3 linked regions of the Saccharomyces cerevisiae S288C genome follow. The protein of the gene in region 2 purifies or fractionates together with the protein of the main gene of each other region. This does not show direct contact. Each region holds a gene or a part of one and is shown on either strand. Other genes may lie near its edges.

Region 1 (5,963 bases), on a different chromosome or scaffold from region 2:
CGGGTGTGGGGGCGGTGGACCTCTTTGGTCAGTCATAGTGCCTACAATTGATCTATTGTTCTTTGTAATAAATTCTTTCTTTCAGGAACAGTAAAAACAGCCTAAAAATATGAAGTCGCCGTAGTAAACGTTATCTTCTAGTTACTATCAACACAGACGCCTTTTTAAATTCGAGGGTCAAGGCTGCTAGGCTGAGTGGTCGTTTGCTGTGTTTACCTCTAATCAAAAACTTATTATCTTTTTTTTTTCAGTCCTTTTTGCAAAGCAGGTACCTACTATTTTTCAAAATACACTAAAGGAACGGGCCCCCCGGCTTACTATTAATAAGGTCAGGACGGGGAAAAAGCAGCAATGCTCTGCCCCTCTGTTCTCGAAAAGACAAACGGTTGTTATATCCTGTATATCCAGCGGTATAATTTTGCCTCTTAGTTAATGCTAAACTATGATATTATACACATACACTAAGTAACATATACAATGAGCCAAGTGAAACGAATACATCACTTGAACAGCTTGGCGACAGAAATGGCCGTTTCTTGGTTCTTGTTCATAACCTTACCCACAGCGAGTTCGAAGTCTTCTTGAGTAACGTGTATTCTTCTTTCTCTTAAAGCATACATACCAGCTTCTGTACAGACACCTTTGACATCGGCACCAGAACAACCGTTCATCTTTTCAGCAACCTTTCTCAAGTTGATACCACGAGTTAGATTCATTTTTCTGGAATGGATTCTTAAAATTTCAGCTCTAGCTGCGACACTTGGAGGTGGAAATTCAATCTTCCTATCTATTCTACCGGGTCTCAAAAGTGCTGGATCTAGAATATCTAGTCTATTCGTGGCCATTATGATCTTGATATTTTTAGAAGTTTCAAACCCGTCCAATTGGTTTAGTAGTTCTAACATTGTTCTTTGAACTTCTGAATCACCACCACCAGAACCTTCTACACGAGTAGAGCCAATGGAATCGATTTCATCCATAAAGATAATTGAGGGAGCATGTTCTCTAGCCATCACAAACAGCTCACGGACCATACGGGAACCTTCGCCGATATACTTTTGTACCAGTTCCGCACCACTGACCCTGATGAATTTACAATCAGTGTGATGTGCGACAGCTCTTGCCAATAAGGTTTTCCCTGTACCAGGGGGGCCATATAAGATGACACCCTTTGGTTGCGCAATACCCAAACTTTCAAAAAGTTCAGGATGTTTTACGGGCAATTCAATAACTTCTTTAATCTCCTTTATTTGCTTTGTCAAACCACCAACCATATCGTATGTGGAATCAGGAACTTTTTCCACCATCATCAACGAAACTAGTGGGTCAGCCTTATTCTCAAGAACTTTATGCAACATATAAGAGTCACTCCTTAGACAAACTCTTTGAGATGCCTTTAAGTCCTTCACGTTTATATCTTTTGCAACATCCACGATGTATTTTCCCTCAGGTTGCACTTTAACGAGAACTTTTTTGTCAGACACGATCTTTATAACTTCACCCACATAAGATCCAGGTTCCTGTAATAGACGCAGTTCGTCCTTGATAAAACGTACTTTGTCATTCAATGCATTCCTTTGAGCTTCCAGTCTGCGAACATTTTCTGTTTTGGAGCGGATCTTTAATTCTGTTTCTTGGATCTTCTGTTCAAAATATGGTTTGATACCACTTTCGTGGGTTTCTAATACTATATTGGAGGATGTTACAGCAGCTGTCATTGTCGTGATAGTATCCCACTATACTGTTGTTCCGTTTACATAAAACCTAACCTAACTGTTACTGATATTACAACTTTTGCCACCTCGCTCGCATTTTGACAGTTTTAAAATACGAAAATTTCCGAACAAGAATAAGGGTAGAGAAGTATGCAAAATATGATTTCATATTAAAAAACCCAACCGAAGAAAAAGGGAAATAGAAAAACAAGTTTTCAGTCGCAAAAAGAGGTTAAACAAACGAGTCAGAAGCCAGCTCTTTCAAACAATGGGTATTATTGAAGAAAAGGCTCTTTTTGTTACGTGTGGGGCAACGGTGCCATTTCCAAAGCTCGTCTCATGTGTGCTAAGCGACGAATTCTGCCAAGAATTGATTCAATATGGATTCGTACGTCTAATCATTCAGTTTGGGAGAAACTACAGTTCTGAATTTGAGCATTTAGTGCAAGAACGCGGGGGCCAAAGAGAAAGCCAAAAAATTCCAATTGACCAGTTTGGCTGTGGCGACACCGCAAGACAGTATGTCCTGATGAACGGGAAATTAAAGGTGATCGGGTTTGACTTTTCGACCAAGATGCAAAGTATTATACGTGATTATTCAGATTTGGTCATATCACACGCTGGAACGGGCTCTATACTAGATTCTCTACGGTTGAATAAACCGTTGATAGTTTGCGTAAACGATTCTTTGATGGATAACCACCAGCAGCAGATAGCAGACAAGTTTGTAGAGTTGGGCTACGTATGGTCTTGTGCACCCACTGAAACAGGTTTGATAGCTGGTTTACGTGCATCTCAAACAGAGAAACTCAAACCATTCCCAGTTTCTCATAACCCGTCATTTGAGCGATTGCTAGTTGAAACTATATACAGCTAGTTAGTAAGATTTTAAAAGACGAAAAGAACGGAAAGTAGGACAACTACCAAAAAAAAAGATGGAAGGTTTCTTTGGTTAGTTAGCAGTATCCGCGTAATGCCTTAGACGTTTTTGATCAGAAAAAAATAAAACTTGATTTCGCCCAGGATCGAACTGGGGACGTTCTGCGTGTTAAGCAGATGCCATAACCGACTAGACCACGAAACCAGTTTTTTGATGTTTCGTTTAGGGACAAGAGTCCTATGAGAGTCCACTAAAATTCTAAAAATAATTGTATCAACAACCGTCATGCAGCTGTTGTATCAAGAATCGACCACCATCTATAGACTATTGTTCATAGCTGTATTACAATATCATATAAGATGTAAGGATAGAACGTGAAGATCGAGAAACAGTCAGCAGATTTAATGGAAGCTGAAATGCACGGATTGATAATGTAATAGAATAAGTGACAACATAAGAAATGAAAGAAAAAAAATAACATTAATATAATTTAGAAATGTTAGTTTCCTTCTATGAACTCTCGTATCCCTGGGGAGGACTTTCAATATATTCAGTATACCTACCGTTCAAATGATACTCTAAAATATCATCTATTAAGTGGTATTCAGGTTTTTCCCACGCAAGATTGAGTGCGTCAGGCAAAGCCACGATCGCAGATTACTCTCCTAACAATATTAAGATCGTCAAGAACATCCGGTTTTACTCAAGCGCTTAATACAACACGTCGGCTTTCGCTCAACTGCAGTATATTGTGTCTGTAACCTCTCCCGTCAAGTTTGCGCCACGGGCCCAATAACCAACTTCTGCGCCATTGTTACGGAAAAGTGGCCATCTTTGCTATGCTCGTAAGGCTAGCGCTCTCTAAGTACGCCAGCCCAAAAACTCCGTATCGCTCTTCATCGGAATTGCTATATCTACAGCCGACGGGCACTCTATGTATACTCATATCACAGCCACTGTTGCACTACATTATTCGCAGGGACTCCGAGATCGCTGAGCATGTTGCTAAGCAACTTACCAAGGTTGGAATGCATTATATAGTCCGATATAGACCCCGCTCGGACTATATTATATAAATTCAAATAGCACTTTCAACGAGTGTCTTAATCCGTCCTAGTTCCTGCTCTCGCTCCACGTTGTCATCCCACCCATTCGCACGGGTCTTCTGTGCGAATGAGCCACAACGGGGCCGAGTTCAGCGCGTGTCCGCCTACAACGTCCGCCAACTAGTGGCAATTGCTAGGCTACGCCGACCACGCTGACACGCACCGTTCTACTCGCTCTATGCTGCGGTGTGACGTGTGAACGCGCGATCGTTCGCAATCGTATCGTTTGCCAAGAAAAAAAGCCAATCGGAGAATCTGAAAATCGCTATTCGGCTTGCAGGTCGCACGCACTCAGAGTACGAAATGCCAAGTACCGGAATTTCCTTGGCCTTTTTTAAGTTTCTTCTCTTCTATTCTTTTTCCCCTTTCTTTCTTCCTTTGCTATCTGTCTGGTTTAAATAAACATAGTATTTTTTTGTGTCTAAGCCTCTTCCTCTTCTCTCGTACTTGCTCTACTACCACTTTACTTAATCGCCTTTCTTTGTTTTCTTTCTTCGTTATTTGTTCTTGGACTTTTCCGCTCCAATCCCAACGATTGGCTTCAAAACACGTTCTACTGTCTAGCAATTTCTGCAGGTGCCATTTTTCTTAGGCTTATACCCTTTCCTTTTCCCCTTACATTTGATTTCTTCTTCAAAGTTCCTTATAGTATTATTGTCTAAGCTCTATTGAGTCAAAAGTAACAATCTAGACGAAGAAAAAAAAAAAATAGAAAATAGACATCCCCGAATACGCATCATCTCACGCACGTACAAGATTTTAACGTTAAAGCCAAAGTACGCTAGTATAGTATCATCAGCATCACCCTCACTATCGGTAGCATTGACCAAACATGTCGTTACTGAGACTGTGGAACAAAGAATCAAGGGCACCATCAAAAATAAAGAGTCATGGTATTGTTGGCAGTTACGGCAACAGCATGCTGGCCCATAACAACGTGAAGCAATTTCGTATAGACATAGACGAACCGCATAGAGTATGGAAACCGAATGAAAGCATAACCGGAGAAGCGGTCATTGACATAAAGAGAGACATAACTAACGTAGCGATCAAATTATCGCTAGTATGTGAGGTTCGCGTGAAAACGGGGAACAGTCCAACCTCCAAGAATAAGAGAATTGAGAAAACCTTAGAGAAGTCGACGTTTCTTTATGGACAGGACTACGTAAAGACAGCTTTTTCGGCTAAGGAAAAGAAACCGCATGTTGACAAAACCACCATTCTCAATGGTTTAAGCAAGGGGGAACACAGGTTTCCCTTTAGGATACGAATACCACGAGGCAGAGGAATGTTGAGCTCTATAAAGTTCGAAAGGGGCTCGATAACATACTTCCTCTCTTGCACTTTAGAATCCCTCAACAACATCAACGGATTAAAAAAACCGGAAGCAAGATGCGAACGTGAGTTTGCAGTCATAGTTCCGCTGGACGTCTCGAGGCTGCCCAAGCCGAAAACTAAGACAGTGGTTTTACAATCAGCATCTATGGTCCAAAACAAAAAGAACAAATCTACAGAGGACGAATCCTCATCGTATACACAATTAACTCAAAAGTCTACTACTTCTAATTCTTCTAGCAGTTCAGTAAACTCCAAGACGTCCCCCTTACCAAATAAAACGGTGACTATATCCGTAGACATACCGCAGGCTGGATTCATGATTGGTGAAATTATCCCTATAGACGTTAAGATTGACCACTATAAGCCTTTCTATGCCCCTGCGGGTCTCACCACCACTTTGGTGAGGATATGTAGGGTGGGCGGTGCAGGCAAAGATGATCCTATGGAGACTTTCAGAAAAGATATATGTCAGAGTATCTCTCCTATATATATTAACCCTGAAACGTTGCAGTTTCAATCTAGAGTTTATCTGAAAGTGCCCCTTGATGCATTTTCGACCCTTACTACTGTGGGAAAATTTTTCTCCTTCCAATACTATATCGAGGTTATGGTTAACTTATCAAAAAAAAACGTGGTTTACACAGAATCTAATAGAATAATAGGAACTCCTATTGGAGAACAAAATGGCTTGGGCGTAGAGAATAATATCAACCGTATCCAAAGGAAAATGCTACGTATGGTCAATCCAGAAACGTTGGAGAACGATTCTGAGGGTTATGAATCCAGTATATTTTTCAAAGATATGGTAAATGTGGAAAAGCTAAAGAGACTGAGGAATGTAACTGGTATGTCCATAGAAACCGTCATAGGAACGACGAGATCCGAACAGCAGCAATCTGATGCAAGCATCCCATCCCAATCCTC
Region 2 (5,180 bases):
GTGGAAAGTGAAAAATTATCACGATGGCAAAAGAGAGGGAAGAGAAGCCCTAGTTACTCGCTGTATTGAAAGGATCAAAAGACCAAAGACCACCAGGAATAATGAGTGAAGTTGCACCAGAGGAGATCATAGAGAATGCAGATGGATCTAGATCTATCATTACATACAAGATTGAAGACGGTGTCAAGTATAAGATTACTCAGAAAGTAAAAGAGGTTAAAGTATTGGAAAAAGTCCATAAATCTGTTGCAGAAAGAAAAAACTGGCATAAATATGGCTCTGAAAAAGGGTCTCCAGCAGGTCCAAGTGCTGTTACAGCAAGATTGGGTGAAGAAGTAGAATTAAGATTGAGTAGGAACTGGAAACAAGCTGAAGAAGAAAGAATACAAAAAGAAAAGGCAAGTCTCACAAAGACCGGTCTACAATGTAGATTATGTGGTAACGACCATATGACCATGAACTGTCCATTCAAGACAATTTTAAGTGAACTTTCAGCATTAGAAGACCCAGCCACTAATGAAGGCGGTGTCGAGGCCGCCAGTGAAGAGAAGGCAGGCCAAGTTGGCGGAGCTGGTTCCATCCCAGGGCAGTATGTTCCACCTTCTCGTCGTGCTGGTGCAAGAGATCCTTCATCCGATGCTTACAGAGACTCTAGAGAACGTGATGATATGTGTACTTTGAAGATTATGCAAGTTAATGAAAATGCCGATGAAAATAGTTTGAGAGAAGAGTTATTGTTCCCATTCGCACCCATTCCAAGAGTTTCTGTCGTTAGAAACAAAGAAACAGGTAAATCAAGAGGTCTCGCCTTTGTTACCTTTTCGAGCGAAGAAGTTGCCGAACAAGCTTTACGTTTCTTGGATGGTAGGGGTTATATGAATTTAATTTTACGTGTTGAATGGTCCAAACCTAAGGTTAAGGAATAGATGCACAGAATATGCTCTGCACTTGTTTTCTAATGTTACTCTTCTCATATAAAAATTGTAGATATTAAGAAAGAAAGTATGTAAACTAATCAATCTATACCTAAAAGAATATTGTTCAATATTCTATAAAGCACGCACGGCATGGTAAAATTTTTAACGATTGTAAGATTACAACAAGTTGCAATCCATTCAAGCTAAAAAATCAAAGCAAGGAAAAGCTCAGAGGCTGTCGTGAATATGTCAAATACCGTAAGAGCCATTTCACCAGATATAACACTATTCAACAAGACATTGACATTCCAAGAAATCTCACAAAACACTAGAGAGGCTGTCATATACATTCATGGAGGTGCATGGAACGATCCTGAGAATACGCCCAATGATTTTAATCAATTAGCCAATACCATCAAATCAATGGATACTGAGTCAACGGTTTGTCAATACTCTATAGAATACAGGTTATCACCAGAGATCACAAATCCAAGAAACTTATATGATGCTGTGTCAAATATAACAAGGCTTGTTAAAGAAAAGGGATTAACGAACATTAATATGGTGGGACATTCCGTTGGAGCTACCTTTATTTGGCAGATATTAGCTGCACTCAAAGATCCTCAAGAAAAAATGAGTGAAGCGCAATTGCAAATGTTGGGACTTTTGCAGATCGTGAAGAGAGTATTTCTATTGGATGGTATATACTCGTTAAAGGAACTGTTGGTAGAATACCCAGAGTATGATTGTTTTACAAGACTTGCCTTCCCTGATGGTATTCAAATGTACGAGGAAGAGCCCTCGAGAGTAATGCCTTACGTGAAGAAAGCCCTTTCTCGCTTCAGTATTGATATGCACCTAGTGCATTCTTATAGCGACGAGTTATTAACGTTAAGACAAACTAATTGTTTAATTTCTTGTCTTCAGGATTATCAGTTAAGTTTCAAGTTGTATTTGGACGATTTGGGTTTGCATAATGATGTTTATAAGAATGGTAAAGTTGCGAAGTATATTTTTGACAATATTTGTTGATAGTTGATTTTATTTCTGCATTTATATATATGTGTGCGTGTGTGTTTTATATATAACTGCCAATGGCCTAAACCCAGATGGATTGGCCACGAGCTTCCATTTTTTTGCCCAGTTTTTCTACTTGATCGTTCCATTCAACCAGTCTGTCCTTCATCTTTGTAATTTGGTCACCACTTATGATTCTTGGTTGGACCCAGGAGATGGTAACGAGTTCATTTACTTGGTCAATAGAACCCTTTAATAGACCCAAACTTATGGCTCTCATGACCAGGTGTTCGACATTATCCTTTGGTAGGTGTGTAGCCTTTGAAATATCTTCAAATGAAAGCATCCTAATATTTTTGACAAAAACTGTTTCAATTAATGTCATTAGGCAAATTTTTTGTCGTAAAAATGATTCATGTTGAGCCAATATAGGAATCTTTGATATTTGAACTTTTATCAATGAGTCGAATTTATCAAAATCACCAACGGTTAGAGCATTTAATAATTGGAAAAGCCAATCGTAATTGGAATCGTTGACTATAGTTTCCATTATTGGATGGTGTAATAGTTCGCCAAAATTATAGATTTTGTCACCTAACAATGCTGAGATACTCAAATCATAGGCCAATTGTTGACGTTCGGCTAAAGTAATGCTTGTAGATGGTTCTAAGGTAGAAAGGTATAATAGACTTGTGTAGTAGAAAGAATTGAAATCATTTTTAAATTTAAAATACTGGGAATTTGTAGAATAGAAGCTGTTTGTTATCCTTAATGGAATGGAATCCTTTTTATCCAATGTCTTTTCCAAATCATCTAATAAATCTCTTGCCTTAACGAGGTCGTTCTTTAACAGGTAAGTTCTAGCAATTTCGCTATCTATCAACAAAATACCATCACCATGGTCTTTTGATCCATTATTTCTTTGTTTTTTAGAGTCCAATTCTTGAAATTGAGCCTTCAAATCATCCAAATATTTTAAAGACTCATCGAAATCCTTAGAATCCTTCAAAGAGGCAAGTAGATACTTTACTACTGACAATTGGTTGATTTTATCATAAAATTTAGAAACGAAGTTATCATATAATCTGAGCCTCAATGGTGTAGATTTAGCATCATCAAAAAATTTAGTCAAGGATTCGGACAATTGGAACCACAATTTCTCTTCATAAAATTTCTCAAATTGTTCGAATAAAGGATGCAAAGAGGGATCTGCCTCCATGCGGAGAGTGCTTAATATGGTGTCAATTTCATGATTATTAAACATCTTGCGAAATATAATGTGGTTTCCTCGCGTGTGCCCACTGTTTGCTTTTTGGTACTTAATAGTTTCTTCAATCTAGGTCTAGCTTTTATTTGTTCTTACTTTTGCCACCGGATGAAAGCGGGGAGCGGGTAAGAATGAAAATGATAATAATAGGATAAATGAATGTGTGTATTCAAATTTTTCTAACGTATACGTTATATGTATATATATATATATATATATGTATATGCTATTTGCAACACGATGCGTGACGGTAATGCTTTTTATAGGGCCTCGTCGATTTGTAACTTTGCCAGTTTCCAATTCTTCAGACATTCTTTGATCCATGCTTTGAAGCTAGCTGCGAAAAGTTTCAAGATCTTTCCAATGGTCAAATTAATATGGTTATATGTATGCATTAAGCTGTTGTATGACGAATTGTTAATTTCTAGCATGTCTGATATACAGATTGATAGACAATCTTTCAATTTGGATAAATCTTGGTTCAACTGTTTGATCTGTTTAGATCTTTCTTGTTCAGTCAATTGTTTGATTTCTAATTTATTGAGATTCATTGTTGGCGTAGACGTTTTATAGTTTAGTTTACTTGCGCCTATATGAATTTCGTTTTGGTGTCCACTGGAGCTTGAATTTGAACTTGACTTCGATAGCGATCTTACGTCCTTTTTAACAAATGTCAGGTCAGCAGCCTTTGTATCTTTGTAATTTTCATCTGTCAATATAGTCGACCGCGTTAAACTTTCATTAATCTTCTGCAGTTGGTTTTCAATCTCAGTGAGACTCGAAAGTTTCGTTTCTTTTTCGATAATTAGCCTCTCTAATATTTTAAATTGCAAAAACTTTAATTTCTTGAAATTTAGAACTTTGAATGACTCATTTAAGAACTGCAATAACTCATTAATGGGGTCCTCAAGAATAGAGGTGTACTTTTCTATTAAGATCTCGGAAGAAATGTATATAACATCGAATGAATGGCCTGTCTTTTCAATATGACTAATAATTTCCATCATTGGGTTGTTTGAATTGTTTTCAGATTCGCGAAGGCTGTTGGGCATGGTTATGTCATTTTCCAAACTAAAAGCATTATAATATGCGCCTAATTCAGCAAAATACGTGGACAAGGAGTGGAAATGAGATTTATTTGATCTTATGTTTTTTAATAAATGGGTGATTATTCGCTTATAATTTTGGAATAAATTTTCAATATGTGTAAATTGAGATTCGTTTTGTAAAATTTCTGTTGGGAGGTTGGAAATTTCATTATGACTTTTTACTGTGATGTGTTGTTGCCAAATCGAATTATAGTTTCTCAGAGACGAGTTGGATGGAATAGGTAAAATAGAATGAAGGGGGCTTGGTTTTGTTGGGCTTAAAGGTGGAGCTAAAAGGTTATTCAAAGGTAGTATGATTATCGGCGACGAACTTAAAACATCTTTCCAATTAAATTCAGGGTTTAGAAATTTTTGAAAAACAATATCGTTGCTTATTTCTTGAATGTTCAGACAGTTAGACAAGAATGAATTGAGCATTTTCTTCCTGGTGGAGATAATTTTGGAATCATTTGCTGCGTTTATGGGACTCCATATGTATTTGAGAAGAGAATGCTTGGATGGAATGGGTGGAATAATTATCGTAGGAAGGAGTCTAGTTAGAGATTGCCTCAAAGAATGAAATTCAGAGTACCTTCTGATAATCTTGTTGTTTTCATATAGAATTACGTAACCGATAGCGTGTTTCCCCCATGGATCTTTGAAATCGCCGGCATCAATGATTTGGATCTGCTGTGTCCCATTCATATCGTGGGGAGTAAATTTGCTAATAGTAGCAGTAGTAGACATCGACAAGGAAACAAAAGGTTCAGTTTCCGCATCTGCTTCCACTACGGCATGAGAAGAGGTTGAAGATGACGTAGATGCTCTGGAAGAGCCAGCAGAAGAGGAATGTGCCGGGCTAGATGGCAAAGACGATGAAGAAGGGGGCGA
Region 3 (5,791 bases), on a different chromosome or scaffold from region 2:
ATAGTTCACGGCAGGTCTTGGATCATCAATGGGTGCAAACAGTACTGTGTATGCAGTGCCTACTATGGAGCTATTTTGCGGTGGAGAAATTGCTGTTAGATTAGGGAAATAACCACCCGTTGGAATGTTATAAACATTCAACAATCCGTCCGAAATATCACAGGTTGAGAACCTCTGTAACTTTTGAAGATCTGACATTGCGGACGGCGGTTTCTACTTATACTGTTAATTTTTTTAAAAGTTGGTTTAGTTTATGGAAAGCCATACAGTTCAAGTTTTTTCGCGCTAAGTAAGGTGATCACTTTTTTTTATCGTTCTTATCACTTCCAGCTGTAATACATCATAGAGATTAATGAATGAGCAACGTTTGACTCACATACAGACCTAAGTGGCGGAAATTATTATTGGCAAAATAGCTGGGCTTGCAGTTTTCCTGATTATTTGGGTAAGCTGATGGTATTCTCCAAACGCGGTGGGCAAGATCTCAGATTATCTGCTCCTTATCGACTGCTTTTTATTTCTATAAATGAGCTTGTATACACATGTATAGTTTGTATTTGGATTATTTATACTTTTACGGATTATGTTCGTATTGTTTGTATTTCATTCCCTAATTTTCCTTTACAGATATAATTTCATGATTAAATTTCAAGGCAAAATATAAAATTATTCAGAAATAGCTTCATCACACAGTGTCTAGCGAAAATATTTGTTAAAATGCTTAACCCAAAGTGTCATTCTCGACAGTGAACCTTTCCTAAAAACTTACAATTGTTATTACAAAGTTCTTCGGGGGATAACAGTCATGGAGTTACAGCAATGATACCTTATGCGGCTAAGTTTTCTTTATTTGCACATAAAGGGTGCCTTCAACATTACTAGACTGCGTGGTGTTGTTCAATTCAAACTGGAGACATAGACTACGAAAATCTTTTAGTCAAATTTACAAGGGCGAGTAGCTTTTAATTGTGCCTTCATGTGCCAAGTAAATTGCGTACAAAAAGTGTCAAGAGATTTTCTCATTCCCTACATTTGCCAGTTCTATAGGCACCTTCTTGCGCATATACATATCTACAAATATCCCGGCTTATTTCCAGTATTACTATGTTTTACTCTTAATTCAAATAAGCACTGCTATTATTACTTTTGATCACGTCAAAAGATACAAAAGACAATCTACAAGTTTATGGCCTTGCATTGTTTATAATTTATGTGCTATCTGAGCATACCCGCCTTTTCTCTATTGTTATTCGAGAGAAGACTAAAAATATCTGCTGCAAGAACAAAAATGGGAACTGCTTGTCTCTTAAAATTATCAATCCACAATGGAAATAGACTTTTTTTACACAGCAACGGTTTTTGAATGCTATGAAACGGTCATTATCAGCTAACACGCTCAACACTTTACTCCATCTTCTTAAAGGGTGTAAACAGAACGATAAATGATTTCCATAAATAGTAAGGCCCAGCCGACAGCCTGCAGCGCAAAAGTGAACCGTTTCCATCTAACTTGGATAATCTGCATTGTTCCCAACGAATGACAGAATCCATCGCCAGATCTAATAAGGTTCAATTTTCTCTATACGACGGCTATAAAAGGAAGTTTTCCGAGCGCGCTTCGAAGCAGAATAGGGAGGACCCCAGACCCGTTTTAGTGCCTGTCCCTTTTTAGTACGTGTTTCCGTTTCCGTGCCTGGCTAGATCCATCTTTCTTCGCGCGTTTATTTTCAGCACCATGTTTTAGGTTTTTACAGCATCGTTTAAGGAACCCAACAATACAATAGCGGGAAGAATGCACTTTCTCGTTCCATAAAGGGTCTCTTTCACCTATACGGTTGGTACAGATTTCCAGTGTATGCCAGTCAGCCACGGCATTACGTCGTTTGCTTCTATTTTCTTCGTTTTGAACTGCGTTTGTATGCAACTGTCCCTTGACAGAGAAAAAAGTGAAGCAAAATGACAGACAAAGAAATCTTTTGTATAAAAGGTCGGTTGAATCTTGTTGTTAGCTTGAAATCAGCTTGCTTTTCTCCTCTAAATTACATAAAAAACCAAGAAAATATCAGACTTTTTCATTCGCTTTCAACAAGTACTACAATAATTAAAAATGGCTTACACTAAGATCGCTTTATTCGCTGCTATTGCTGCTTTGGCTTCCGCTCAAACCCAAGATCAAATTAACGAATTGAACGTTATTTTGAACGATGTCAAATCTCACTTGCAAGAGTACATTAGCTTAGCTTCTGATTCTTCCTCTGGATTTTCCTTAAGCAGTATGCCAGCTGGTGTTTTGGATATCGGTATGGCTTTAGCTTCCGCCACTGACGACTCCTACACTACTTTGTACTCTGAGGTTGACTTTGCTGGTGTTAGCAAGATGTTGACCATGGTTCCATGGTACTCCTCTAGATTGGAACCAGCTTTGAAGTCTTTGAATGGTGATGCTTCTTCTTCTGCTGCCCCAAGCTCTTCTGCTGCTCCAACTTCTTCTGCTGCCCCAAGCTCATCTGCTGCCCCAACTTCTTCTGCTGCCTCAAGCTCTTCTGAAGCTAAGTCTTCTTCTGCTGCCCCAAGCTCTTCTGAAGCTAAGTCTTCTTCTGCTGCCCCAAGCTCTTCTGAAGCTAAGTCTTCTTCTGCTGCCCCAAGCTCTTCTGAAGCTAAGTCTTCTTCTGCTGCTCCAAGCTCCACTGAAGCTAAGATAACTTCTGCTGCTCCAAGCTCCACTGGTGCCAAGACCTCTGCCATCTCTCAAATTACCGATGGTCAAATCCAAGCTACCAAGGCTGTTTCTGAGCAAACTGAAAACGGTGCTGCTAAGGCCTTTGTTGGTATGGGTGCTGGTGTTGTCGCAGCTGCCGCTATGTTGTTATAAGTTATTGGTTTTTAATAATAACTACGTAAAAAATAACCATAGTCATACCCTTTTTTATTAACTACTTTCGGTCCTTTCTTCTGCTTTACAATTAATGTAAATATGTTTCGGTTCTTTAATTGCATATATAACAAGATTAATTTTTCTTTTTTTTAATTCATTTTGTCTTCTATAGTTTTTCCTGTGCCATATTTTAAATGTTCCAGCGGTGTTGGCACTACTGTCTGTTGGATACTTGTATAAGATATCAATTTATTAACTTATTGCAAGAAATTATTTTGTGCAGTGTGAAGACTTAAAGTGTATTGAAAGACCATTGAGGAAGACCTGAACATTAACCGAATTCAACGAAGGCTGAAATGCTAGGATTGATAACGTAACAGAACTAATTAGAATGTGTAGACATGACACATGCTGATTGAAACATCATGTCAAATCATCATCTTCCTTTGATGCTTTTTTAGCAGCTTCGAAAACTTACCTTCAACAACAACGATTTTACATAACACTACTGGCGTTAAAGAAATGGGGTGGCAAAGATAGAAAGAAAAATTCTACTGGAGAATGTATGAATTTTGAGGTAATTTTTGGGATGCCATTGCTGTTAGAGATCATAGTATTAGGTGCACAAAATGAACAAGGAGTTCTCCTTAAGGACATACGAATCCACAAAAGGGTATGGAAATTTCTACATAGTATTGTGATTATCGTGTAGAAATACCGATTACATTTTGAGGATTCCTATATCCCGGAGGAAAAACTTCTGGTATTCTGTATACATAATATTGTAGCCTTTACCAACAATGGAATCCGAACAATTATCTCAAAATTCACCCAATTATCACTTCTATCGGCTGGTGTTCGTACTACTACTGTTGGAATGAAACTTTAAAATATCATTCATTCGGTAATATTCCTCTAAACAATTCTTTTTCTCAACCTAGCAAAGTAACCCACACTTAAACTTATTACGATTGTTCCTCATTGCTAATTCATATTCCAGCATCTTTGATATATCATATTTTGTCTAAATATCGTCTACCATGATGATATTCATGAAGAATAAGGTTTTTCAACCTACTTTGATCCGATATAGTGTAACGGCTATCACATCACGCTTTCACCGTGGAGACCGGGGTTCGACTCCCCGTATCGGAGTACTTTTTTGATGGCTACAATCATAATTTGACATACCTCATATGAATATGATGTGGTAGTAAATTAAATAGGCTGAATCCTGATAGTTTGAGCCTGGGTTCTGACTATCCGAGAAGCGCACAGCAACATAACACCACCTTCTTTTAGTCTTTTAGCGAAAAAGTAGGAAGGCTCTGCACTCCATCGTTTTTACCATTCCTACACGTTATAAGGACTCAGACAGGCGGCGTAGTTAAAATAAATTAACACCGAGTCTTGAACATGTAATTTCTTTAGGTTCATTGAAGAGATAATTATAACTTTCCTGCCCACAAGTCCTCTGATTTACATTCGAACGAGGCTCATTAACGTAGTGAAAACTGTTCATAACGCAATCTCTTATGAAAACCATGCGGTGAATTCCTTTTGACAGGTTCTCTATGATACTATCGACGCCTCTCAAATATCAATGCGTATTACTGCATCAGCAAAGCTCCGTCATCTACATCTAGGCCGGGGCATCTTTCGCAGCGAAATCTTTACGGTGGCAAAAAATAAAGAAAAGTGAATATTGAACACCAATTACAAGAAAAGGGAGCACCTGTCAATCGAATAAAAAAGAACAAACTTCGGGCACGTCTTTTAAATAGGTTCATATACAATACTAAGAAAGATATATTAAGAAATGGATATTATTCTGGGCATCCGTGTACAGGATTCTGTCATTCTAGCGTCTTCTAAGGCAGTCACAAGAGGTATTTCTGTTTTAAAAGATTCTGATGATAAAACGAGACAATTATCGCCACATACATTGATGAGTTTTGCCGGTGAAGCTGGTGACACCGTTCAATTCGCCGAGTACATTCAAGCCAATATCCAATTATACTCCATTAGAGAAGATTATGAGCTCTCTCCACAAGCAGTATCTAGTTTTGTTAGGCAAGAATTAGCCAAGTCAATTAGGTCGAGAAGACCATACCAAGTCAACGTATTGATTGGAGGCTATGACAAAAAGAAGAACAAACCGGAACTATATCAAATTGACTACTTGGGTACTAAAGTCGAATTACCCTATGGTGCTCATGGTTACTCGGGGTTTTACACATTCTCTTTACTAGATCATCATTATAGACCTGATATGACTACTGAGGAGGGTTTAGATTTATTAAAACTATGTGTACAAGAGCTTGAAAAAAGAATGCCAATGGACTTCAAGGGCGTCATTGTTAAAATCGTGGATAAAGATGGCATAAGACAAGTAGATGACTTCCAGGCACAGTGAAAGATATTCAGTGTAATCACACGGAAAAGGTGATTGCTAATGATATACTAAAGTAATTATCTTCCTCGTTCATAAAATTAAATAAAGTTATTATAGTTTTTTCATCCGTTATAATAGCAAATGTATCAGAAATAAGACAATTTCTCATTTTTTGTTGGCAGAGTGAGATATCATCTGATCTATTGCAAATGAATCCCAATCAATGCTGATACCGCTTCGTTATAACCAATTCGAAAAGTTGTAATTATGTTACCCGCATGAGAATATTTTGAAGAAGCAATGTAGGGCTACGATAGTACTTTTGAGATGGTTTATTACTTGTTCAAATGCTGTCATCTCATGTTGTTAATGCGCTATATTTCGCACTACGAAGCTAATTTTCAACATAGGTAACACAAAGATATTAGAGATGTCTGATATATCGAAACTCATAGGAGCTATTGTGGGATCTGATGACCCCGTTATCATTGAATTTGTGCTGAATATCATAAATAAATCCG

The links. The genes of interacting proteins can lie anywhere in the genome.
Region 1: the proteins of RPN9 (region 2) and RPT6 purify together in Saccharomyces cerevisiae (affinity purification with mass spectrometry; 5 studies listed by BioGRID, with this or other methods). This does not show direct contact.
Region 3: the proteins of RPN9 (region 2) and PRE1 purify together in Saccharomyces cerevisiae (affinity purification with mass spectrometry; 4 studies listed by BioGRID). This does not show direct contact.

The regions. Positions count from the first base shown.
Region 1 is NC_001139.9:409,569-415,531, forward strand, and holds RPT6 (proteasome regulatory particle base subunit RPT6), read right to left. Parts: upstream 1,719-5,963; coding exon 501-1,718; downstream 1-500. Other genes in the region: TIF4632 (translation initiation factor eIF4G), read right to left, coding at 1-36; N-acetylglucosaminyldiphosphodolichol N-acetylglucosaminyltransferase catalytic subunit ALG13, read left to right, coding at 1,984-2,592; RIM8 (Rim8p), read left to right, coding at 4,534-5,963. UniProt on the Saccharomyces cerevisiae protein: The 26S proteasome is involved in the ATP-dependent degradation of ubiquitinated proteins. The regulatory (or ATPase) complex confers ATP dependency and substrate specificity to the 26S complex.
Region 2 is NC_001136.10:1,320,223-1,325,402, reverse strand, and holds RPN9 (proteasome regulatory particle lid subunit RPN9), read right to left. Parts: upstream 3,199-5,180; coding exon 2,017-3,198; downstream 1-2,016. Other genes in the region: TIF35 (translation initiation factor eIF3 core subunit g), read left to right, coding at 102-926; BNA7 (arylformamidase), read left to right, coding at 1,164-1,949; SNX41 (Snx41p), read right to left, coding at 3,462-5,180. UniProt on the Saccharomyces cerevisiae protein: Acts as a regulatory subunit of the 26S proteasome which is involved in the ATP-dependent degradation of ubiquitinated proteins.
Region 3 is NC_001137.3:173,141-178,931, forward strand, and holds PRE1 (proteasome core particle subunit beta 4), read left to right. Parts: upstream 1-4,694; coding exon 4,695-5,291; downstream 5,292-5,791. Other genes in the region: YER010C (bifunctional 4-hydroxy-4-methyl-2-oxoglutarate aldolase/oxaloacetate decarboxylase), read right to left, coding at 1-198; TIR1 (GPI-anchored mannoprotein), read left to right, coding at 2,108-2,872; DEAH-box ATP-dependent RNA helicase PRP22, read left to right, coding at 5,701-5,791. UniProt on the Saccharomyces cerevisiae protein: Non-catalytic component of the proteasome which degrades poly-ubiquitinated proteins in the cytoplasm and in the nucleus. It is essential for the regulated turnover of proteins and for the removal of misfolded proteins.